Linked DNA regions of Callithrix jacchus. The protein of the gene in region 1 binds, or shares a complex with, the protein of each later gene. Links are inferred from orthologs where the notes say so. Each region holds a gene or a part of one and is shown on either strand. Other genes may lie near its edges.

The links.
Region 2: VPS8 (region 1) and TGFBRAP1 share a complex: the UniProt entries of both Homo sapiens proteins name them as parts of the putative class C core vacuole/endosome tethering (CORVET) complex. The link is inferred for Callithrix jacchus from reciprocal best matches to the Homo sapiens genes VPS8 and TGFBRAP1.

The regions. Positions count from the first base shown.
Region 1 is NC_133516.1:13,873,428-13,877,240, reverse strand, and holds part of VPS8 (vacuolar protein sorting-associated protein 8 homolog), read right to left. Parts: intron 2,348-3,813; coding exon 2,228-2,347; intron 869-2,227; coding exon 812-868; intron 1-811. UniProt on the Homo sapiens protein: Plays a role in vesicle-mediated protein trafficking of the endocytic membrane transport pathway.
Region 2 is NC_133515.1:15,384,055-15,387,867, forward strand, and holds part of TGFBRAP1 (transforming growth factor-beta receptor-associated protein 1), read right to left. Parts: intron 1,391-3,813; 5' UTR 1,374-1,390; coding exon 686-1,373; intron 1-685. UniProt on the Homo sapiens protein: Plays a role in the TGF-beta/activin signaling pathway. It associates with inactive heteromeric TGF-beta and activin receptor complexes, mainly through the type II receptor, and is released upon activation of signaling.

The DNA.
Region 1 (3,813 bases):
AATGTAATTTAAGAGATAACCAAAACTTTACCAGCTGTTCTTCTTCCTAGGATACTCTGCAGCCGCCACTGGGGCACAGCTGTGCAGACAAAGGGGTCACTGTTGCTATCTGAGAGCCTCAACTTCCCAGCTGTGTACAATTAGCATAGTGCTTCAGCACGTCCTTCAGCACGGCTCCCATAGTACGTAATTTTACTGATTTTACTGTCTGTTTATTCACCTGACAAAATCTGGCTATCAATACAAAATGGGTTGACTCTCTCAGTGCCCACAATGATGGCAGGTATGCTTTTTAAAGAACCCTACTCCTGAAGGGAACCTCAAGAAAGTGGCACGAATAGAAAGTGGTCATCAAACAGTTGCCATCTCGCAATAATGAGTGGAGGGACAGATGGATTCTAGTGTCCAGAATGGCCAGCCCTGATGAGGTGGGGTTTTAGGGCACTCTTAAGAGTTAGGTATGTCAATGCTCAGGAGCCTGCAGCTTTTTTGTGTCAGGACCGCAGCAGCCAATGGAATGCAGGGTACAAGAAGTCCTAACTGTTGCTATGTAATAAGGAAAGATGAAGTCGTTTCTTTGATGTCACGGTAGGTGCAAGACAGCTCTAGGAATTGAGTTTGATATAAGCTCCTAATACATGTACCTCTAACAACCAACCACTCTATTATCTGGTCCCCATGACTTTACCTTCGTGTTAGAGTTTGGCACAAGTCACTGCCCCTTACGTGTAGTGAGGTCTAGCACAGAAGAGGTCCTTCTGGTTTACTCTTGTTTCCTATTTAAAGCAAAAAGAGTTCTAGTGGTTCAAACCTGCTGTCTTTCAGAATGTCGGGAATCATCGTCAGGACTACAAAGGAATTCAAGGACCTGGCCAAAGAAAGAGTAAAGCATGCAGACATCAGTACTCTCATAATAAAAATAATAACCACCCTTTCAAATAACCAACCCATTCACACTCAGCCAAAGACCACAGGTGCAGAGTACCTTCGCAGCTGATTAGCCTAGTACACATAACATCAGGCTCAGGTATGCCAACGATTTAATATGTGCCTTACATACTTATCTCTTTACTCTTTAGAAACATAACTGTAAGAGGCTGGGCGCACTGGTTCACACCTGCAATCCCAGCACTTCTGGAGGCCGAGGAGGGTGGATCACTTGAGGTCAGGAGTTCAAGACCAACCTGGCCAACATGGTGAAACCACGTCTCTACTAAAAATACAAGAAATTAGCCGGGTGTGGTGGCATGCACCTGTAATCCCAGCTACTCTGGAGGCTGAGGCAAAAGAACCACTTGAACCTGGGAGGCAGAGGTTGCAGTGAGCTGAGATTGCGCCACTGTACTAGAGCCTGGGTGACCAAAAAATAAAAGAGAGAGAGAGAGACAAAAGAAATATAGCTATAAGAAACACAGATATAAGGAAGTGTTGTCTATACAGACACACACACATGCATGCACGCACGCACACACGAACACACACACCCCTTAAGTTTCCTGATAAGATATCACGAACCTAGCAAAGCATGGACTTAGGAGTCAGGCCACCTGAATTTGGATACTAACCCTATTAAGACTTAGTATTTGCTGCTAATAACAACACTTACTAAGTATGACCTTAGATGAATGACTCAATCTCTCCAGGCCTTCCCTTCCTCATCTATAACAGGAGATAACTGCCCCTGTTTTCGAGCTGTTGAGAGGACTAAGGTAACACACACACATAAAGCTTTGGAACAACGTCTGCCATTCTGAAGTGCTCAGAAAATGCTAGTCATCTTTAGATACTTTCTCCAGACAAAAAGTGTCTTCTTTGCCACCTGTGGAAACATAGGAGCTATTTAAGTGGGCTTACAAGACGCCTGCAAAGTCATTTGTAGGTAAATTGAGATTTTATAAAATAATCTCTTCTCCAGATGATGGGCCTAATAGTCTCACTACCGGAGAGATGCGGGAGATTCTTAAATTGGAAAACTCTTGAGCAAAGAATTCCAGGCAATTCAGAACAACAGAATAATTTGAAGAACACAAGCTCTATAAACCAATCTCCACAAACACACCCATCCACCCATATACACACACACCCCTAATTTAGATCCAAAGCCTGAACAGGCCTCTCCTTGATAAGACATTTACCCAAGTCTGTCACATCAAGCAACAGTGTAATCCAGGGAACTGTGCACAATAAACAGAAAAAAAGCTTTTCGTTTTCACTGCTAGACACTTACCTGATCAAAAAGTGTTCTGTTTACAAACAAGGTGTTGTCAGGCTTTGCAAGCTGCCGAGCAAGGAAGGTAAAGAGACATCCTACTTGTGAGGGGGTGAAGTCTGAATTCTCCACCATAACCTGAGAAGCAAGGGAGACCATTTATTCAATACACCATCTGGTTTGATGCAAAAGCATACAATTAGAAGAGGGGACAGCCTCATTACTGAAGACTTGTAAAAAGATTCTTTTACTGACTGTGCAACAATTGAATTTAACACCATTTAGAAGAAGCACAACTATTCGCACACTGAAAATATTTCAGTGATTTTTGGCATATTTCTAGCACAATCTGGATGAGAACTGAATTGATAAGGAGGTAGAGATATAAACTGTAATATTTCAAAGAAATATCAATCATGTTTCCCCCAGGAATTCTTCAAGAATCATTCTACAATTATTATTATTTTTGAGACGGAGTCTCGCTCTGTTGCCCAAGCTGGAGTGCAATGGTGCAATTTTGGCTCACTGCAACCGCTGCCTCTTGAGTTCAAGTGATCCTCCCACGTCAGCTCCCCGAGTAGCTGGAAGTGCAGGCATGCGCCACCATGCCTGGCTAATTTTTGTATTTTTGGTAGAGACGGAGTTTCACCACATTGGCCAGGCTGGCATTGTACAATTAAATTTAAATAGTCCGATAAGTAGAAAGTAAATTCTTTTGCGGAACGATCCAAGATGGCCGATCGCTAACATCCCGAGATTGCAGCTCTCAGGGAAGACGCGGAGAACTAGAGGACGCCACACTTTCAGACAAAGTCTGGTTGCTCACGGAGCAGAAGATCCCCCAGTGGAGGAAACACACGGGTCGCCAGCGTGACTCTCGTGGCCGGCGCAGCGGTTCCGCCCGCACCTCGGTGTGGCAGCTCTCGGAGCAGAGTAAACACATTTGGAGGACCCGCACGGCCCCCAGCACAATACCAGAGCCCGGCGCAGCGGCTGTGACGGCACCTCGGTGCGGCAGCGCTCAGCGCAGAGTAAACGGGACGGGTTCCCCTTCTGACCAAGGTTTGGAGTCCTGGGAAGGCAGAGTCGCCTACTACAGAAACAAGAAGGAAGCCAGACAGGAGAATCCTGGGCAGAAAAGCACCATCAGTATTAACGCCGCTGCTCTGGCCCTGGGAACTAACAACCTGGACGTCCACTCAAGAGACCTAATCTGAAAGTTGGTAATTTCAAAGACGACAGGAGGATAAATTTACAACGATGGGAAGAAACCAGCGTAAAAAAGCTGAGAATACTCAAAGTCAGAATGCCTCTCCCTCTAAAGATGATCACAGTTCCACATCAACAATGGAACAAGGCTTGATGGAGAATGAGCGCCTCCTGATGACAGAATCACTCTTCAAGGAATGGATAATAACAAACTTCGGTGAGTTAAAAGAACATGTTGTAGCCCAACGTAAAGAAACTAGGAACTTTGAAAAAAGGTTTGATGAAATCCTATTGAGAATAGACAACTTAGAGAGGAGTATGAGTGAATTAATGGAACTGAAGAATACAATACAGGAACTCCGAGAAGTATGCACAGGTTTAAACACTCGAATTGT
Region 2 (3,813 bases), on another chromosome or scaffold:
TGTACAACCTTCCTGGGGTGGAAGAGCAATGCAGCCATTAGGTAGGATTCACATCCACCACTGGCTGCACATGGGCACCAACTAATAAGCTTGAGGGTCCCACAAGCTTAGGGTAGAAACTAGGTAGGAGGAAAAGGCAGGGATTTAAGGTAGAAGCAGGAAAACCAAAGAAAAAAGGCAGAAACTTAAGACAGGTGGGAACTTCAAGAAAATATCCAGCATCATAAAAACCTGATGCAGAACTCTCAGGGTTGCTGGCTCACTCTCAGCATCCTAGAGTGCCTTATCTTTCAGAATGTACCGTCTCTCTCCACATAAACTCTCTGCTCTCTACTTCCCTTCAGTAAAGCTCTCTGCTATCCCTGAATTGCCTCTTGGCCAAAGTCTTTCTTCCAAGATGACAAAGAGCTGAGAATGTCCTGTTCCCGGTAACACCACCAGAGCCGTTTTCAAGCTCCACTTCACTGTGAAAAGAAACTGGTTTGATGATTCTAACCCCATGTCCACAAAACGATCGAACTGGATTTCATCAAGCACTGGTCAGGCACTCCTGCCTCTGTCTTGCCACACACGCCCAATGTTGCTGAGGACTTATTCTGCACAGCGCCAATCTCACTCTCTGGTTTCAACATGCAATCACAGAGGCCACCCAAAAAGACCAGGAGCACAAACACATCTTCCTCACCCAGCCCTCCGGGGCCCGCCAGTAGGAACTCCTGTCTCCCTATCCTCTTGACAATTGGCGGCCTCTCCTCGCTGCAGTAGGGAAACAGGTCCTGGGAGACACCTGTGCTGTAGTTGTGGATGATGTACTGAGTGGTCAGAGCCAGACACAGGAAGTGGCCGTCCACAGCTACAGCGAGGGGCTGCTCAGAGGTTGACACCTCCTTGACGATCTGCACCCGGTCCTCGTACACCAGAAACATCTGGATGGTTCTGCGTTTGACAGAGATGATACAAACTTCCACACAGAATGGGTCCCCAGTCACAGGGTTCTCATTCAGTGCAAACGTGACCGCCCCCTTGATGCGGGCTCCCGAGGGCACTGGCTCGAGGTTCAGCATGTGGACCAGGCTGATGGAGTTGTCACACAGCACCAGCAGCCTGTTGAGTGCTGAGGCTGCGCGCAGCTCACTCACAGGCTTCTTGAAGCCCAGGTGCCTGTGCAGCTGTTTCGTGGCAGTGAACGTGGCCGGCCCGGCAGGCACTGGCCTCTCCTCCAACAGGAAGTGGTAGACAAAGCAGTCGTTGGTGCCCACGTAGAGGTCCCTGCCGCAGCACTCTACACACTCAATGTTGACACGCTCCTTGTCGCCCACCAGCAGCTCCCACTCCACGGCAGAGACAAGCGTAAAGGCTTTGATGTTCATCATGTCTACTGGCTGATCTGCTGGAAGAGAAAGAGAAAAACTACTTTTAGAGGAACAAAGAAAAAGCAGAAACAGAGGTTGAAATAATGATATGTGGATTCCCCAGTTATAATTTTCATTAAAGAAAATCATTCCACGCTATCAAAAAATAGAAAGAAACTTTTTCCCCACGGATCTCCCCCATCAGACAGCAAGAGACCCCAGCAAAAAAGCATACACGCACACACCCATACACACACATGCATGTGCTTGTGATCATGTGCCATCCTGCTCAGTCCCCACACGGAGTCGCCTGGAGCCTCCTCACATTGCTCCTGGGAGACACACTTGCAGGCAGAAGACAAATGCATGCATTCACCCACAGACAACGTAACAAAAGGATTTCTGTGCGGCAAGAGGATGGCTTGACCCCAGGGGTTGCAGGCCAGCCTGGGCAATATAATGAGACCCCATTTGAAAAAAAAAAAGGGATTTCTGAAAAAGGCAGAAATGATCCTCACTGATCTTCCCTGAGTTTCTACAGCTGCTTGAATATGCGCTTTAGTCAATGAACACAACCAGAGTCGCAGGATCCTGCCAGGGACACCAAGGCAGGAGCCAGCCTTTGGTTACCTTTGTGTTCTTTCCAAAAAGGCAGACACATCAGCCCCCGCTCCGGAGTAAACGTTCATGTGGAGAGTAAAGGTGTGCCTCAGATCTCAAAAGGCTTTCAGGTGGTAAGTGGAGCTATTTAGTGGATGTGTGGACTGGTCCCTGGCTCCCACTGGAAGCAAGACTTTCCATTTCCACATTAGCCTGTGGCCTCCTACTTCATCTCTGCGAGAACTGTGCTTTCACACTCCACAAAGTCAGAGGGAGAAGACCAGGTAAGGTGGCCTTTCCTGACTTCTCAGGCGACCAGAAGCAAACTCAAAGGCACCATCCCTATGATCGGGAGCAGGGCAGGGGATCAGAGAGCTGGAAAGAGGACTGCAGAGAATGACGGGCACTGCAGGGCAGCTGGCTGGGCTTGCGTCAGCACTGCTCCATGTTCAGAGAGTTTGAAGTGAAAGGTTCCCTACTACTATCACTTCCTCACTTCAAGCTCTCCGAACATGGAACAGTACTGCTTCAGGAGAGCTTAAGTTCCTAATACTTGGAGGCATTCCAGCATAGGGGGTAAGACCTCTCAGAAATATTCAAGAAAGGTTCACGCATCAGGGAAGGGAAGGAATCAGAGCACTTCTTTAGTGCCTTTCAACTTGAAAATTTTGGAACTCTACAATTTCTTGTCTGCCCCCATCCATGGGGGCAATGACAGCTATACATGAGTGAGACTCCAGCCCCTTCCCTAGGCCCCCTCCCTAGGAGGGAGGGCACCCAGGACTGAGGAGGAGGGTTGTCTGTGGACACATCAGTCCTTCCTGTTTTTTTCCCATCACTTGAGCAAATTACTTGATGTTATGGTCAGAATGTTTGTTTCCCCCCTAAAATTCATATGTTGAAACTTAATCCACAGAGGTGCTGGGAGGCGAGGCATCTGGGAGGTGATTAGGTCATGAGGGTGGAGCCCTTATGAATGGCATCAGTGCCCTTATCAAAGAGGCCCCAGAGAGCTTATCTGTCCCTTCCACTGTGTGAAAAGGCAGCTGGAAGGCACCACCCCTGAGGGATGGGCCCTCTCCAAACACTGAGCCTGCCATGCTTCAATCTTGGACTTCCCAGCTTCCAGAACCGCAAACAATACATTTCTATTGCCTATTAATTACCTAACATATGGGAGTTTGTTACAGCAGCCTGAAGGACACTTGGCTATTCCAGTCTCAATTGCCTCATCTGTGAAATGAGCATAATAACGGTACCTGCTTTCACAGGACCATTGCAGAATTAAGTAAATCAGTTCATATAAAATGCTGACAGCTGGCACCCAACACTCAAACTTTTGGATCTCATCATAAACACTATGATTCCCTCCCAGTGTGGATCAGCTCCCATTCCTCTCTCAAACTACCTGCCTGCTTCAGGTGTTTATTTCCCAAGTTGGGCACCAAGAGATTAAACAATGCTGTCTTCTGTCCTCAGATATGGGTAACCTGTTCACCTCTGCCAAAAGACAGTCTGCAATGTAAGCTAGAACACACACTCACATATCTGCCCTACCCCTAAAACATCTTCACACTCATTTATGGGCGCTCATCTTCACAGAAACTATGGGACAGAGCTGGGCGAAGTGCAGAGGGAGGTTCAAAAGGCACCACAGAGAAAGAATCATGTCCATGTACCTAGGGGCTCTGGGAACATCCCCAGAATCCCAGGTATGGCTAGGTGAAGAACTCCAGCAGGCTTCTATAAATAGTCTGTGGCACAAACAGTTCTTAAACAGCATCATGTATTTGTCTCAACCAAACATAACCACCAAAACCCACGTAGACAATATTTTTTTCTCCATTTAAATGCTAATGAG